Linked DNA regions of Saccharomyces cerevisiae S288C. The gene in region 1 interacts genetically with each later gene. Each region holds a gene or a part of one and is shown on either strand. Other genes may lie near its edges.

The links. Genes that interact genetically often act in the same process or in processes that back each other up.
Region 2: mutations in DAK2 (region 1) and HSP10 together harm fitness more than expected from each alone (negative genetic interaction), as found in Saccharomyces cerevisiae (one large-scale study listed by BioGRID).
Region 3: mutations in DAK2 (region 1) and YLR156C-A together harm fitness more than expected from each alone (negative genetic interaction), as found in Saccharomyces cerevisiae (one large-scale study listed by BioGRID).

The regions. Positions count from the first base shown.
Region 1 is NC_001138.5:20,568-27,553, forward strand, and holds DAK2 (dihydroxyacetone kinase), read left to right. Parts: upstream 1-2,855; coding exon 2,856-4,631; downstream 4,632-6,986. Other genes in the region: AQY3 (Aqy3p), read right to left, coding at 280-2,220. UniProt on the Saccharomyces cerevisiae protein: Catalyzes both the phosphorylation of dihydroxyacetone and of glyceraldehyde.
Region 2 is NC_001147.6:369,048-374,721, reverse strand, and holds HSP10 (Hsp10p), read left to right. Parts: upstream 1-3,877; coding exon 3,878-4,198; downstream 4,199-5,674. Other genes in the region: DDL1 (putative carboxylic ester hydrolase), read left to right, coding at 1-1,012; protein-arginine N-methyltransferase SFM1, read left to right, coding at 1,283-1,924; MCO10 (Mco10p), read right to left, coding at 2,765-3,037; YOR019W (uncharacterized protein), read right to left, coding at 4,403-5,674. UniProt on the Saccharomyces cerevisiae protein: Eukaryotic CPN10 homolog which is essential for mitochondrial protein biogenesis, together with CPN60. Binds to CPN60 in the presence of Mg-ATP and suppresses the ATPase activity of the latter.
Region 3 is NC_001144.5:471,003-476,420, forward strand, and holds YLR156C-A (uncharacterized protein), read right to left. Parts: upstream 1,609-5,418; coding exon 1,477-1,608; downstream 1-1,476. Other genes in the region: YLR156W (uncharacterized protein), read left to right, coding at 1,111-1,455; asparaginase ASP3-2, read right to left, coding at 1,967-3,055; YLR157W-D (uncharacterized protein), read left to right, coding at 4,762-4,974.

The DNA.
Region 1 (6,986 bases):
CGAGCTGAAAATTTTATTATTTTTATTAATAACATAATGTGAGACTCCTGGTTTGACATTTAATTTTACGTATTAGTCGAATTTTGTTCTTGCCTACAATAAAAAGACAATTAAGCCGCAGGCAGTCTCATTCTTTATTACAAAAACAAAACGATAGAATTTAGAGCACAAGTAAGAGATGGTAACAAAGTCACGGCTCCCGGATGTAGTATGTCGTCAAATAATAAGTTCGTGAAATTAATAATTAGGTTATAAATCGTAAAAAATTGAAAATATTAATTATGACGAAGTAGGCACAGATTTCTTGCTGCCAGTGTTGCTGTTGCTGTTAACACCAGATTCATCTGAGACAGTGCCATCATTCTGGTGGAACTCCGCATGTAAAAGTTTACCTACCCTATTCTCAATATAACCGTTGTCTGGGTAGTTGACTGGGGATTCGCATCCAGTAAAAATGAAAATGTCATATATGAGTGCTCCAGCAATACCGCCGGCAATTGGACCACCCCAGGCTCCCCATGTCCACCACCAATGTGTGAGATGAAAAGCATGTGGACCATAGCCAATCATGGAAGCAAATATGCGAGGACCGAGATCTCTTGCAGGATTGATTGTGAAACTTGTTTGATATCCAAGGGCCATACCAATTGCAGCGACTAAGAATCCAATAATTAATGCGGTCATACCATTGCCAGGTGGAGCATTACTATCATCCAATAGCGCCATCAAACAACCCACAAGTATAGAGGCTCCTATGAATTCGTCAAAGAAGGCATTTCTCCACGTGACGTAAGACTTTGGATCAGTAAACAAACACGCACCGGTCGCCGTTGTTCTTATGTGCGGACCTCCCTCAAATTCTGTGATAGAGCTCCAAAAATAACCATAAGCCATAGCTCCTCCAAAATATGCACCGATAATCTGAGCAACAATATATACGGGCACCTTTTTCCAGGGGAATTTTCGAAAAATTGCCATTGAAATCGTAACAGCAGGGTTAATATGACCACCACTAATACCGCCTGCGACGTAAACACCAAGCATACAACCGAACCCCCATGCAAATGATAGGGATTCATAGGAACCACCACTACCTTTTGTTACAGTTGCTTGAAGATTACCACCAACACCAAAAATGACAAGAACTAGTGTCCCGAGAAACTCCGCAAACGGTTCTCGCATATGATAGCGAATTTTTGCCCAAAAGTTAGGAAATGTCATTATATCCGCGTCTTCATCTTCTGAGGCACCAATTTCATTACCATCTAATGCACTCGTACTTTTATTTTCCTCTTCAATAAGTTCTTCAGGAAGCTTCGTATAAACCGGAGTAGAACCATCGAGGGTTTGCATGTTCTTTAATTTTCTGGATTCTGCATCGGCTATGGAGGATGCGTAGCTTTCATCGCCTAATGAAAAATTGACATTATGCGAAGTACGCTTTTTCTTACGTGAAACATTCTCAATATGCGTGTTAGAGGGCTTTTGTGGGTTTTCAGGCTCTAACTTAGTAGGTTTCACATCTGCACCAACAGTATTATCGCGTTGCGTTTGAGCTTCGATGTCACCAAGCTTTTTACCCGGTGCTGCACCTCTAAGGAGCCTTTTCCAGTCTTTCACTGACGTAGTAGAACCCCCCCTTGAAATATCGGTCGACCCTCGTCTCGATGATGCGCGGGACCTTGCATCCATATTCTTTTGTATCATCTTTGCTGCCAAGCCTCGATCCAATACATGCGGTAACGGCTGATTTAAACTCCAAACAGGCCTGTTCCTGCTACTACCCATAGTTGGATTTAATTGCCGATATAGTGGGTCTACATAATTATTACTGTTGCCTTGATTTACCCCCCTGGATAGATAATCTTGCATTATACGTGCTTGCTCAGCATCTGAAAAACTGTTTAAAGTCTTCAAATTAGGCAAAGAATAAGTAAAACCCATGGAAGGGACCTGTGGTTGTACCGAATCCTTCCTCTCGTCAACCACTTTTTTCAAGGGTGTCAAAGCAGAAAGTTTATTTCTCGATGATCCTCCAGTTTCAATTGCTTTTCGAGTCTCACCTAGCTTTCGCCTCAAGAGAGTGCTGTCATTTTCGTTATTTTCCCTAGATTTTTTGACACTTTCTTCCCAAGCTATTTTACCATTAGGTTCTTCTTTTAGCGTTGGTGGCCGTGTACTCTCGGAAGAGGAGGATGACCTCCCAGATTCGTAACTCATTACTTGGGTCTAGATCATATATCAGAGGAGCGTTATACTGTGCGATTATACGCTTCTTTTTATATGAATAAGGGGGAGACATGGTGAAAAGGTACCAGAACTTTTGATCGACCAAGACTAGGTAAAGCTCAAACAACGTTTATAACTCAAATTTCCGGGGTAAGTGGGGTACCGGAAAATTATGATATTCCGGAGCGGAGTTATCAACGGAGAAAACTAGGCCTTCTGATGGAACTTAATTTAAAAAATTAATCACAACCTATGCATATTATTCCCGCAGAGGGTGATTGTGAGTAAATCCCTGCACAGAAACAATTCCCGCCAGGCCATAACTAGATTCTAAATTATTTAACTCATAATTTCATGAAATCGTATCGTAGTACCAAATAGGGAGATATTGAGCCAAGTAAATTCTTACGTCACCATAGTTGGATAATTAAGTACTTGATATTGTATAAGGATCTCAACAATACGAGAAGGGGAAAATACCGCAATGTGTGATTGAATTTTCAAACTTTGGATCATTAAATATATATAAATGAACCCAGATCAGCCCTTTTTTTTTCTAGTATTGTCTGTAAAGTGTATTTTACCTCAAAATCTGACAAAACCCAACTACAATTGACTAAATAATCATGTCTCACAAACAATTCAAATCAGATGGAAACATCGTTACTCCCTACCTACTTGGCCTTGCTCGAAGCAATCCCGGCCTTACAGTGATTAAGCACGACAGAGTGGTTTTCCGGACTGCGTCAGCTCCTAATTCAGGGAACCCTCCTAAAGTTTCATTGGTTTCTGGAGGTGGCAGTGGTCATGAGCCAACGCATGCCGGTTTTGTTGGTGAAGGTGCCTTAGATGCGATTGCAGCAGGTGCCATTTTTGCTTCTCCTTCAACTAAACAGATCTATTCTGCTATTAAAGCTGTTGAATCTCCTAAGGGTACCTTGATCATTGTAAAAAATTACACCGGTGATATTATACATTTTGGTCTCGCTGCTGAAAGAGCTAAAGCTGCTGGAATGAAAGTCGAACTGGTTGCTGTAGGAGATGATGTCTCTGTCGGTAAGAAGAAAGGTTCTTTAGTCGGGCGTCGAGGTCTCGGAGCCACCGTATTGGTGCATAAAATTGCTGGGGCAGCCGCTTCTCATGGACTGGAGTTGGCAGAAGTTGCCGAAGTTGCTCAGTCAGTAGTTGACAATAGTGTCACAATTGCGGCATCTCTTGATCACTGCACGGTTCCTGGCCACAAACCTGAAGCCATTTTGGGCGAGAATGAGTATGAAATCGGTATGGGTATTCATAACGAGTCTGGTACCTATAAGTCTTCTCCGCTGCCATCGATTTCTGAGCTCGTTTCCCAGATGCTTCCTCTTCTTCTCGATGAGGATGAAGACCGTTCTTATGTGAAGTTTGAGCCCAAAGAGGACGTAGTTCTTATGGTTAACAACATGGGTGGTATGTCTAATCTAGAATTGGGTTATGCTGCAGAGGTCATTTCTGAACAATTGATTGATAAGTATCAAATTGTGCCCAAGAGAACGATTACTGGAGCATTCATTACTGCATTGAATGGTCCTGGGTTTGGTATCACTCTTATGAACGCTTCAAAAGCTGGTGGCGATATCCTTAAGTATTTCGATTATCCTACCACAGCGAGTGGATGGAATCAAATGTACCATTCTGCCAAAGATTGGGAGGTACTTGCCAAAGGGCAGGTTCCCACCGCCCCCTCTTTAAAGACATTGAGGAATGAAAAAGGTTCGGGTGTGAAAGCTGATTATGACACTTTTGCTAAAATTTTGCTTGCTGGGATTGCAAAAATTAACGAGGTTGAACCAAAGGTTACTTGGTACGATACCATTGCAGGAGATGGTGATTGCGGAACTACTCTTGTGTCCGGTGGTGAAGCATTGGAAGAAGCTATTAAAAACCATACGTTGCGCCTCGAGGATGCTGCTCTTGGTATCGAAGATATTGCGTATATGGTTGAGGATTCTATGGGTGGTACGTCCGGTGGTCTGTACTCTATCTATCTTTCTGCTCTCGCACAAGGAGTTAGGGATTCTGGGGACAAGGAACTTACTGCGGAAACTTTCAAAAAGGCATCAAACGTTGCACTAGATGCTTTGTATAAGTATACGAGAGCCCGTCCTGGTTACAGGACTCTGATCGATGCTCTGCAACCTTTTGTCGAAGCGCTGAAAGCCGGGAAGGGTCCCAGAGCCGCCGCCCAAGCTGCTTATGATGGTGCCGAAAAGACAAGGAAGATGGATGCCCTTGTTGGGCGTGCTTCTTACGTGGCTAAGGAGGAGCTGAGAAAACTCGACAGCGAAGGTGGATTACCAGATCCAGGAGCAGTTGGTCTTGCTGCACTACTCGATGGATTTGTTACAGCTGCTGGGTACTAGAATTGCTCGTACACACTAGAAGCCAAACATAACAGCTTTAAAGGCTTTCATTTTTGAACTTTTTAAAAAATTGAATACTCCAACTGAAGGTGAACTAGTTGTGTCTCTGAATATATTTTTATAGATATACGAATTGATGAAGTACCGCAAATTAAGCTAAAAAGTAATGCTTCTTGCAGCTTTTAATTGTTCTTTCTGCAATCTACAATTACTTTTCTTGATTCCTTCTCCGTTCCCCTGTGTTGTCTGGAAGTATAATTTGTCCAGGAAGATTTTTTGAATAGCCATTGTTTTCTTTAAATTAAATCGGAGTGTTTAAATCCATTCCAATCTCTTTTTTCTCGCAAGTCAACAAACAGGTGTTAACTTTCTTTTCCCCGCTGTTTTCTTACCTATGAATAGTCTCAATTCCTTTTTAGAAGATCTGCACATTCTCTGATACTATGAACAAGTTCTAGGATAGCAATCTAAGTTTTATGATTCTCTTATTTCGGATTCGATTTCAATAAAGATCGTAGTATTAGAAGTATAGAATGTATTGTAATTTTTTTTCCTAATCTTATTAATTCATGGAAGGCATTGAACTCAACAGCATATTTTAAATGTTTGTATCTTGTTTTCTCTTTCAAAAAAAAAATGGTGTCATTCATTATTTTATGGTCAACCCTATACATCAATTTTTCTCTGAAAATATTGACAAATAAAGTAGTTGATTCTTGTTCTACCAATTAGTGATATTATGCATGACTGTTAACAACTTTTTGACTAATCTCTGAAATCATATGAAGATCTTGCTGCATTTCATGCATCTAAGAAATCAACCTATATCAACAGATTTCAATAATTACTCTAAACTTATGCTGTAACTTAGAAAGTAACCAGCCTGTGTTGACTGATTGAGTTGCGTATTAACTGCGCCTAGTCATTTCAACACTTATAATTTGCTTCAGCTTAAGTGTGGTTCATCTTTTTTTTTCTGGAAACTTTGCATGCCCTCAAAGCATGAGTAGTTAGTTATCTTTTTGACAATGATCTCTTTTGAAAATATCTACTGTAGATTTGCATGGACGCACGTCGCCCATACGCCAAACTTTGGCAATGATACTCGTTATTCGTAATATCAGTCCGTCAAGGTGCTGTGATTTCTCTATTTTATATTGCCTATTATTTTTTCAAATGATTTGAGCCGTTTTAAATTGAGTATGCAATGAGTCTTTTGAATCAACCGTAAGGCAGTTCCATAACCACTGCCACGAATACGTTTCACTACCTTGAAGAATCTCTAATGTAGGCCGTATTCTTCGCACTTAGTTCTGACGATGTAGACATCTCATTATATAAGAGCATAAGCGCCTGTTTCTAGAATCATTTCTTCGTGACCCAGCTTTTTGAGTTATTTCGCGGTATTTTGAAACATTTCTCGAGCTTGACGTGAACATCCTTATATTTCATGACAAACTCGATCATTGGAACATCCCTGCCTCGATTTTAGAGCTAGTATCAAATTTCAATCTCTTTGTGATGGAGCCCCGCTCCTATTTCAAAAGAGAAGTTTCTTGTATGCATATGTTATTGAAGTCTGATTATAGCAAGTGCAATGTCGTCTCAATTATTTTAACTATTTTTAGCCATACATGTTAGTTATCCTCAAAGAGAGCCTCCAGACTGGGAAGCAGTGTTTGTCATTTCAAATAAGTAGATTTCACAGTTTGTATGATTTTCGAAGCCAGGATTCATTGGGCTTTGAGTAAAGAGAAGCCGCGTATTACGAACAGCTTACGATATTGTAAAATATTCCCTTATTGTGGTGCCCCAATGGATACATGCCAGAGAAATGTCTGTGAAATTGAACAATTACAATGACGAGAGCAAGTAATCCGGCGGCCTTGTCTCTCTTTCACTAGTACCGTCTATATCTCTTGAGCGCCAATATGCGAAAGCTTTCACAAGGTTGATGTTCATGGTATTCGGCGTCGATAGCGAATTGCTTACTAAGAAACATTAGGGTGCAGTACAGCCTTGTTTTTCCAGTTCGACTAACCTTTTTCTTGGCAGTATGGAGACTGACTAGGTCTCCCAAACATTCATTGTAACTGCTGTTTAAAGATTTTGTTCTAACCTAAATTCAAGTGAGAAGCTGAACATGTGTCTCTACTTATGATATCACGACAGCAAATACTAATCTTGCCATAAATAGTCTAGCGTTTTGCAACTTACCTCTAGATATATTTTATTTCTTGAGGAACCGTTTTCGTCGGTAATAACAAAATACTACTGAAACGCCACAGCATTGAGAGAATACGTTATCGATTACGGCTTTCTTCTCGCTCCAGATGTCGCGGGTAAGATATTCAC
Region 2 (5,674 bases), on another chromosome or scaffold:
TATGAAAAAAATCTACAATAATTCTGAGAAACTACAATCATTAAACACAGCACCTGATTATAAAAGCAACTGTAACGTTCAAGTGCTACCCATCACCTGGAGGCACTCGATAAGTTTCCAAACGGATGCTAAGGAGGAAAATATAGAAAATCCTGACCTACCGACTTTGTCACAAGTCACAGTAAATGGAGTGTTACCCTTGAGGAAGCTACTGGCTGACGGTCTACTAGATATTTTGTTGTATGTCGAACCATACTACCAAGATATGATTCTACAACAAGTAACCTCTCAATTGAACAAAACATATCGGATTTTTAAAGAATTTAATCCAGAGTTTGATGGGAAAGTCCATTTAGTGGGCCATTCGTTGGGTAGTATGATATTATTTGATATTCTATCCAAACAAAAAAAATATGAATTAGAATTTCAAGTAGACAACCTGTTCTTTATTGGCTCACCAATTGGATTGTTAAAGTTAATTCAAAGAACAAAAATTGGTGACCGTCCCGAATTTCCCAATGACTTGGAGAGAAAATTAACCGTACAGAGACCGCAATGTAAGGACATTTATAATGTTTACCACGTCTGTGATCCCATTTCTTATAGGATGGAACCTCTTGTTAGTAAAGAAATGGCTCATTACGAACAAACTTATTTACCACATTGTAGTGAAGCTTATGGACTAACTTCTAAAGTTTTGGAATTTGGCGAAAACATATGGAAAGATTTGCCAGGTACTGATGAAAATAATTTGCAGTCCAAAAAAACTTCTCCAGAAAAAAAAGAGGTCAAGTTATCAGAAAATCTTACGAGAATGCTTACAGGTTTGAATTACACCGGACGTCTAGATTATGCTATGTCTCCAAGTCTGCTAGAAGTGGATTTTATATCAGCTATAAAATCACATGTTTCTTATTTCGAAGAACCGGATATTGCAGCGTTTATCCTAAAAGAAATTTTAAGTAAACATGAAAATGCATCAGAAATATATGTAAAAAGAAAGACTGGTTGATCAGTAAACGCAAGGCACAAGTTTTTTTTAACTTTTTTCTTTACTGTCTATTATAGTTCCACTGTGTAAGGTTGTATTCTTTCCGTACTTCAACTTGCGGGTAACAGGATTGACACCTTTTCAATTTTTTCCGTTATTTTGGATTAGAAATTTTCGGTAAGCTCATCGAGTATTGTAAAAGAGCAATGCCCTTTGCTTATTAGATGTTGAGGGGCATATCTATTGTTAATATAGATTGATACAGCTGTGGAGATTATTTCTAGATATACGATGAAGTACATTATTGAGCATATGGAGGAAGGGTTTAGTGAATGGGTCATTTTAGAGTATAGCCAAATCCTGAGAGAAGTAGGAGCTGAAAACTTGATTTTATCATCGTTACCAGAGAGTACCACGGAAAAGGACATCCCTCAAAGGCTACTAAAACTTGGTTTAAGATGGACTACAAAGGATTTGAAGGGCATTAACGAAGATTTCAAGGATTTGGAACTGTTAAAAGATGGCAGAGTCTGTCTATTGGACCCTAGGGCTACAATCGATTTACAGCCGGAGGATGCTACGAAATTCGACTATTTCGTATTTGGTGGCATATTGGGTGATCATCCTCCAAGAGATCGTACCAAAGAACTAAAGACTGCCTATCCGAATCTTTTAATTAGCAGAAGACTAGGTGATAAACAAATGACTACGGATACTGCCATAAGAACAACACAGTTGATTATCAAAGACAGGATTGCATTTGAAGACATCAAGTTCATTGACTACCCTGAATTTAGGTTCAATAAAAATGAGGCCACGGAAATGCCATTTAGATACGTTTTAGATAAAGAAGGTAAACCTATTTTGCCTGAAGGGATGTTGGATTTGATCAAGAAGGATTCTGCTCAAAGTTTGGACGATCTGTTGATGTAGATGAGAACAGTCCTTTAAGTAACATTCTATGGTTGTAATAAGTGATGATGCTTCCTTGTCAAAGAGTTAGTTGAAAAGTTTAGGGTCGTAGCATTAATTATATTGTATATAGTTCAAAAACGACATTCAATGAAAAAATCAAGTTTATTAGCCAATGAATATTTCGTATTTTGCGTTAGTAGCGCTACCAAGACTTCTGAAAAGTGCATGCAAGAAAAATAAAAACAAGGAACCGTTTACTTTTATGATATCATCATTGTCAGGCCAAATAGGATAAAATTGATTGGTTGTATTATGCTTTTTAATTGAAAAAAAAAGTAGAAACTTTTATTATTTTATTTAAATTAATTTCTTTACATTACTTGCATCTAAAACCAAACGAGCTGGTGACTTCAAGCACTGCACTAGTTGCCATGGCTTTGCTAATTCAGACGACCCCCTTGAGGTGAAAAAATAGTCTCAGTAATGAAACAATCATAGGCAATTAGTTCGATTTTTTATAATTATCTTCCAGCCTTTCAAATATTGAAAGGCCATCAACTATCACTTACACCTGAGTGTTGTCATTGATCCGTAAAGTAAAAAGAGGCAAGTTTTGTGCATATTCGTATCATGCACAATGGCCTAAGGCAAGTATTTTCAGTGTTTTTTTTTTTTCATTGCCGTTTTGCTATTCAGAATATATTGAATTATATGTATAATGCATACTTAATAGAAAGAAGGACGCTAATTTTCGTTATAGAACAGTAGTTTCAAAAAGTGCTTCAAGTTTATAGAAATCAGTGCATCCCTTCACTGAACGATGAAGAACACCACCATTTCAGAAATTTTTATACATAATCAGTTGGCTTTCGTATCCTGCCTCGTATCTTTCTCTAAATCATTTAAAAATCCTTCAATACTCTTTACGACATCATCGTCCTTTCCCATAGCATCTGAGTTTGAACTTTCACCGCTTTTTTGTTGGCTCAAGGCAGAACTATTCTTGCCTTCATTTTTGGTTTTTGGTTTCGTGGTAAAGTAAGATGCCACTGCAGCAGTAGCGATAAACGTAGATATAGCCAATACGTGAGGTTGAACCGTCTTCCCAAATACTTTGTATGCAGCACCCATTGAGATAGCTATATTTATTTTTGTATATCTTATGTTTAGAAACAGTAGCGACCTTTCTTACTTGTTCCTTCAAAACTTGACTTAGATAACTATTTACCCTTAAACCGTTAGCTCTGTATTATGGACTGTGAAATTACACCTCGTTACCCGAAGTTCTATTATATTTTCAATCCATACTCCTATGATCTCTTCATTGGGAAAAAAAGGTCCACTTTCTCCTGGATTGCTCGAAGGCTTTCCGTAAAGAAAATACCTTTTATTTTTCTTTGCTTTCTTTCTCCATTAAATAGTAAACGCCTCTTTCTGAGGCAGCTGGCTAAAAAAATGTAACAAGGAATTTTATTTTATTACGGTTCAGCAAAGGCCGTAACGATAGTTGTATTATTTTCGTTCATATGTAGCAGCGATGGTAGCATTTTTTATTGTATAAATTGTGGCTTGCGTCGATTATCTTATTATGCCACTCATAATAAAAAGTTACTCTCAAAATGTCAATATTCAATAATGCATGTCTGTCTTTTTAATTTAGTACATACGTAGGATTAGGTATTGGAAGCAATCATAATGAGTTCTAAAGTTGTTATTTCTCACTTATTGCACCTCTCGAAGTTCTCTCATTAGCCGCCCAATTCTCATTCGTGTGAAGGTCATTAACGGGGTAATGCCCGTCATCAATGATAGAAATTTCTAGAATCTTGAAGGAATGGGAAAAAGAAGCTTGATTATGTATAAAATTAGTCAAAACGCTTATACAGTACAAACTTATTATGTGCTAGGTTTAAAATAATTTCTGATAGAAGCCATTGATCGAAAATATATTGAATCTACAGAAAAAAAAGAATGTCCACCCTTTTGAAGTCTGCTAAATCTATCGTTCCATTGATGGACCGTGTCCTTGTCCAAAGAATCAAGGCACAAGCAAAGACAGCATCCGGGTTGTATTTACCTGAAAAGAACGTGGAGAAGTTAAACCAAGCTGAAGTTGTTGCCGTAGGCCCGGGCTTTACTGATGCTAATGGTAATAAGGTTGTTCCTCAAGTTAAAGTTGGTGACCAAGTTTTGATTCCACAGTTTGGTGGTTCTACCATTAAATTGGGTAACGACGATGAAGTTATTCTTTTCAGGGACGCTGAAATCCTGGCTAAGATTGCCAAGGACTAAGAATGATGTCTTCTTCAACAGAGATTTTATATACATACTCTATATGTATGTACCTGTAAATAGGCCATTATGTATGACAGGAAAAAAAAATAATTGAACTCAAATTTCTTCTGCTATTCAGTTGCTGCCCCCAATTGTCTGCTAATAAAATTGATCTATTCATCAATAGGAATTTTAGGGACACTATGTGTACAAACTATCCGCTCATATTTTGCCGAATAAGAACAATGATTTCTTCTTTTTTTTCTTCTTCTTTTTCTTGTCGTTACGATCATCACTTTCAAAAACATCGCCACTGCTACTATTCCTTCTACTGGATGATTTATTTCCAGAGGAACTTCCACTTTTAAACACCTTAAAAATCCCAACTCCACCCCCAGTGAAGGTGTTCACAGTACTAAAACTAGACGAGCTTTTCTTTGACCCTGCACTACTTGAGGAGTCATTAGTTTTGACTTTTCTTAACGCACCGGCACTTTTAACTTTCCTCAAAGGAATGCTATTATCAACACTACTGCTTTTATCAGATGGATCAAAGGAATTTTCTTTGTCGAAGGAAATACTGTGCCTTATATCAGGCAGATTTCTGGCTTTGCCAAGGGCGGCTCTTCCATCTTTGTGTTTTACAGAGGTTGCAAACTTGATTTGGGACGTAGGCGAGCTACTGAGTTTAATAGTTGTTGTGGTATTTTGTTCCTCTGAGGAAGAATATGGTATTAAAGATTTTCTAAACTTTGTGTTTTTCGACCCATTGCCTATCAAAGCATTCTTAAAGCTGGAAATTTGGTCACCGTGACTGGACTGCGATACATTTTTACCAGGCAACGTCTCTATCGCTAAAGAAGACTTCAATGACTCTCTAATTATGATATCAATTTTCTTCAACAAAAGTTTTTCCTTAGTACATTCTCTATCTTTCTCATCGTCTTGTAATTTTTCTATATCACCCGTGATCTTCCTTCTTGAATGCTGGGCGAGACCGGTCAATTTTCTTGGAATGGAATCATTAGAGGTGTTGAACTGCTTTTTGATGTAGCCTTGCCTTTTGAAATCTTCGGCGTACGAATCTACGGAAATATGTGAAGAAATATCTGATATTGTATTTTTTTTGAACATTGAACTGCTCATGCTCTCAACGTCAGTGTGTTCGTGCTTCATATGATTTTTTGAGACATAATGTTCATTTACTTCTCTTTGTAGATTCAGTTCGAACGAATACATTCGTTTCGAGGGAACAACAAATGTGGGAATCGGATAACTAACAGGAAAGACATCTGTCAGCTTTTTGGATTTATATGTAATAAGATTCTCATTTCGCTCGTGCTTTAAAGTAGCAAGAACTAAGAAATCTGGAGTATGGACATTAATGACATCTACCAGACTTTTTTTAATTTTGCCTACAATTATTTCTAAAGTAATTTTGACGGATATTTTGACCACTTTTACTAGCTGTAAAATATAATCAAAAATGTCGTT
Region 3 (5,418 bases), on another chromosome or scaffold:
GAAACTCATGGGGTTTGGAAAGGAGGTGCGGTAATCTATTTTTTTCGAACACAAAACCTAACCTTGAAAAGAAACTGTCCAATTTCATTGAACTTACCTCAGAACGGGCCGGAGTCTTTGCTTTCAGTCTAACATGGTCTAATTTCTTCGAAAAGCTTCATTTAATTGTTAGACTGTGGTTTTACAAGGAAAAAACCAGTGCTATACTGAAGCGATACCCAGAACTAATTACCTTGTGTGACGATTCGGCTCAGCGAAACGGACATGGTAAAATTGGGAATTTGAAAGCAGGCAGCAGCCTTGTACAGCGACATGACGATAGGTTTAGAATCCCCATCACGTACGAGTTGAAGAATTCTACGAAGGCTCTATGCGTTATTCCTCTATCGGTATAAAGTGTAGCGTTGTAGGGGGGATATTGGTGGTTTAGTTGAATTTGCGCAACGAAATTATAGAACTCATAAAAGTTCAATTCAATACTTGAAACCCTTAACGTTGGTTCGACCATCAATTGTTTGGACATAATAGTTTTATTCTGCGGCCGATTTCAAAATTTAGTAAATCAAATGTTGAAGCATCACCAGTAGGATGACCACTCCCATGACAAAACTCCGTCCCAAAGATAGCTTGATCATCCTAAGCGGGTCGCATTTTACTATCCCCAGTTCCGAAGAATAACAAGGCTCAATGCATATGCTGTTTATCGTGCTCACAAGGCGGTATGACGTTTTTAGCAATGTAATTATATTAAAAAGATCTTCAGTCACTATGAGTGGTTGATTGCCCCATAGAGAGCTATAAGCCGACGTGAAAGCTGCTGGTTCCAGCTTGGCTCATGTCGTCACCAGTCACTAGTCACTTGGTCGCATTCATTGCTACTCATCTGCGAGTGAGCATATTTGAGATCTGACTTGCCAAGGGATTAGAATCACGTAAGACTCTTGATCCTTAGAAGATATTTCTGACAAAGAACCACCTAAGCCATGCAAGTTTTTTTTTTCATTTGGTGGCGAAACAAAGGTGATGAAAGTTTCTTCTTGTACAAACGCCAATCCCGATAGGTGAGACAATTCTTGAAGTAATGGACCTCTGAGTAAGCATATCAGTCGAATGAAGTTCCAATATGCGTTGGCCAAGGAACAGCTAGGCAGCAACTCGCGCAGTGGCGTCAAAAAACTAATAAGTAAACACCACTGGCTTCCGGAATACTATTTCTCTGATCTCTCATTTTCTGTTGTACAGCAGTGGGACAGTAGAGCCATTGAAAAAACTACAATCATATCTTGTATGCGGCCCGCAAACCAAGAGATTTATCCTTTGAGACATTGTGAGACCCTCCGTTCGCAACCGTGCTCTCTGTTTTCATCACTATATGCACGCTCTTTCCAAAGCTCCTGCACTTTGCACGTGGCGGAGCCATCGCCCGGCTTCCATATGTACGGCTGCCACACCTAACTATTTCGGTTGCGGCCATATCTACCAGAAAGCACCGTTTCCCGTCCGATCAACTGTAGTTAAGCTGGTAAGAGCCTGACCGAGTAGTGTAGTGGGTGACCATACGCGAAACTCAGGTGCTGCAGTTGTTTTTTTTTTCGCGCACGAATACATCACGCAGCCTCGCCTTGACACTGCTCAAGGGATAAGGGGAAGGAGCTGAGATAGAACTGAGTTGGAGCGTTGCAGCGGCACGAGCAGTGAAAAGAGCGAAGAGAAGAGAAGCAGATAAAAGACCAAAGTAGCGATGATACTTCGATGTTTGGAGCGATTTTTCCTATGTGAATATTAGAAATCATATGTTTTGTATCAGCTGAACAGTGAATGATGTGCTCAATACTCAAATTCATCTTTTTGTTTGCTAAAAATAGCTTAACTGGCACATCATGAAAAGGATGTAGAAATTATAGAGTATATTTACTACTAAGAACTATATAAAAACACAGTGTGATGAAAAGTCACTGATCAGGCTTTAACCACCGTAGACGCCAGAAAAAACAGACCTAATCTGATCCATGCCGTAGCCGGAGTACAAACATAATTGTAGCAAAATACGCGATTTTTGAGGGTTTAGGTAGCCAGATCCAATGGCGTACTCTGGGGCATCATCTGGAGGAACTGTACCATCTGCTGTTCTTCTGCTGTGAACAATTGGTATACCATACTCTTCATAAAGTTGTTCGTTTACAATACTACCCGTAGCAGTCCAGGAACCAGCTCCAGAACCCGCCAACACGATACCTTTTGCGCCCAGGTCCTTGACGGCCTTTACTATTAGCTCAGGATTCAAGCCTTGATAGGAGTACAGAATAATGACTTCTGGAATTTCCGAAGGGTCTGTGAGGTTGGAAATGTCAAAAAATTGCCATCCATTTGGCTTGACTGGTGGGTAGTAAAACTCCACGTCATCATTTGAAAAGTAACCTAAATATCCCTGTTCATCCGCTCTGAATGTATCTAAAGAGTTGGCATTCATTTTCGTTGTCCAAAACCCAGAGGCAATACGATCGTTTAGAGTGATCATCGTGCCACGACCCAGTGATTTCTCAGAAGCAGCAATAGACACTGCTTGATATAAATTCATTGGGCCATCAGCAGACGTGGCAGTGGCTGGACGCATAGCGCCTGCGATACATACTGGCTTCTCTGAATTTATGGTCAAATCTAAGAAGAAAGCTGTCTCCTCCATAGTGTCGGTCCCATGAGTGACAACCGCACCAGCGTAGTCATCAGAGGCTAGTGCCTCGGAGATACCGTGATACAATGGGATCAGATGCGTATAGTTTAAAGAATTTGAACCAACGTTAGACACTTGAAGATAGTCCAGATTTGCCTTCTCAGCTAAAGATGGGACGGCTTCTATTAAATCATTTACGGTTAATCCCACGCTATAACCCGCCGTTGTTGCACTTGTCGAACCCTTGGAAGCGATAGTACCGCCGGTACCAAAAATTTTGATTGATGGCAAAGAAGAATTCTTCTCTTCACGAATTTTTAGTAGTGGAGCACCACTGGACATTGCGACAAAGAGAGAAAGTAAAAGGGTATTTAAAGATCTCATAGTTGGAGGTTGGTGAGTACCAGATTGCTTACAAAAGAATAGCGAGCCAACATTTGCTCTGCCTCAGGCCTCTTGGTGCTGCTTGAAGACTCATCTTATATGGCTTTTGTATGTCATGATTTGTTCTTGTACATTATGTGTTGATATTAAACAAATTGATTTTTTTTTTTTTGCGATAGCAAGCAGATAATGAAAGAGACAAGGACTTGGAACATCCGATAAGACTGCGCCGATATCGATCTTACAGTCCTTCCCTTGTGTCATGACTTTCGGAAAAGCATCCTCGTCGACTGGTAGTTTGCTGTCTGTCACGTGCTGAAGGGTCTGATACATTTTTTTAAAGATAAGAGACGGGGTTTACCTTCGGAGGACTAAGCGAGATCTCCAAGTAAAGATCTCGCTTATCAAGAAAGCAGCCAAGTGTGGAACGTCCTTTTTTTTGGTTTCAAAAAGATATTCAACAGTTTACACTGCAGCTTTAATTGCCTCAAAAGGATATCATGAGGTGATCTAGGGTCAGAAGGGAAAGATTACAGCATCTTGAGTTGAATCACATCTGCAAAAGGTGGTATTATTGACGTTGCTCTTCCTTAATGGAAACTCATGGGGTTTGGAAAGGAGGTGCGGTAATCTATTTTTTTCGAACACAAAACCTAACCTTGAAAAGAAACTGTCCAATTTCATTGAACTTACCTCAGAACGGGCCGGAGTCTTTGCTTTCAGTCTAACATGGTCTAATTTCTTCGAAAAGCTTCATTTAATTGTTAGACTGTGGTTTTACAAGGAAAAAACCAGTGCTATACTGAAGCGATACCCAGAACTAATTACCTTGTGTGACGATTCGGCTCAGCGAAACGGACATGGTAAAATTGGGAATTTGAAAGCAGGCAGCAGCCTTGTACAGCGACATGACGATAGGTTTAGAATCCCCATCACGTACGAGTTGAAGAATTCTACGAAGGCTCTATGCGTTATTCCTCTATCGGTATAAAGTGTAGCGTTGTAGGGGGGATATTGGTGGTTTAGTTGAATTTGCGCAACGAAATTATAGAACTCATAAAAGTTCAATTCAATACTTGAAACCCTTAACGTTGGTTCGACCATCAATTGTTTGGACATAATAGTTTTATTCTGCGGCCGATTTCAAAATTTAGTAAATCAAATGTTGAAGCATCACCAGTAGGATGACCACTCCCATGACAAAACTCCGTCCCAAAGATAGCTTGATCATCCTAAGCGGGTCGCATTTTACTATCCCCAGTTCCGAAGAATAACAAGGCTCAATGCATATGCTGTTTATCGTGCTCACAAGGCGGTATGACGTTTTTAGCAATGTAATTATATTAAAAAGATCTTCAGTCACTATGAGTGGTTGATTGCCCCATAGAGAGCTATAAGCCGACGTGAAAGCTGCTGGTTCCAGCTTGGCTCATGTCGTCACCAGTCACTAGTCACTTGGTCGCATTCATTGCTACTCATCTGCGAGTGAGCATATTTGAGATCTGACTTGCCAAGGGATTAGAATCACGTAAGACTCTTGATCCTTAGAAGATATTTCTGACAAAGAACCACCTAAGCCATGCAAGTTTTTTTTTTCATTTGGTGGCGAAACAAAGGTGATGAAAGTTTCTTCTTGTACAAACGCCAAGCCCGATAGGTGAGACAATTCTTGAAGTAATGGACCTCTGAGTAAGCATATCAGTCGAATGAAGTTCCAATATGCGTTGGCCAAGGAACAGCTAGGCAGCAACTCGCGCAGTGGCGTCAAAAAACTAATAAGTAAACACCACTGGCTTCCGGAATACTATTTCTCTGATCTCTCATTTTCTGTTGTACAGCAGTGGGACAGTAGAGCCATTGAAAAAACTACAATCATATCTTGTATGCGGCCCGCAAACCAAGAGATTTATCCTTTGTGAGAAATGGGTGAATGTTGAGATAATTGTTGGGATTCCATTGTTGATAAAGGCTATAATATTAGGTATACAGAATATACTAGAAGTTCTCCTCGAGGATATAGGAATCCTCAAAATGGAATCTATATTTCTACATACTAATATTACGATTATTCCTCATTCCGTTTTATATGTTTATATTCATTGATCCTATTACATTATCAATCCTTGCGTTTCAGCTTCCACTAATTTAGATGACTATTTCTCATCATTTGCGTCATCTTCTAACACCGTATATGATAATATACTAGTAATGTAAATACTAGTTAGTAGATGATAGTTGATTTCTATTCCAACATACCACCCATAATGTAATAGATCTAATGAATCCATTTGTTAGTTAATAGTTTAAATGTTTTTATCGGAAGAGGTTTTGTCATCACATCAGCAATGTTCTTCTTGGTCTCG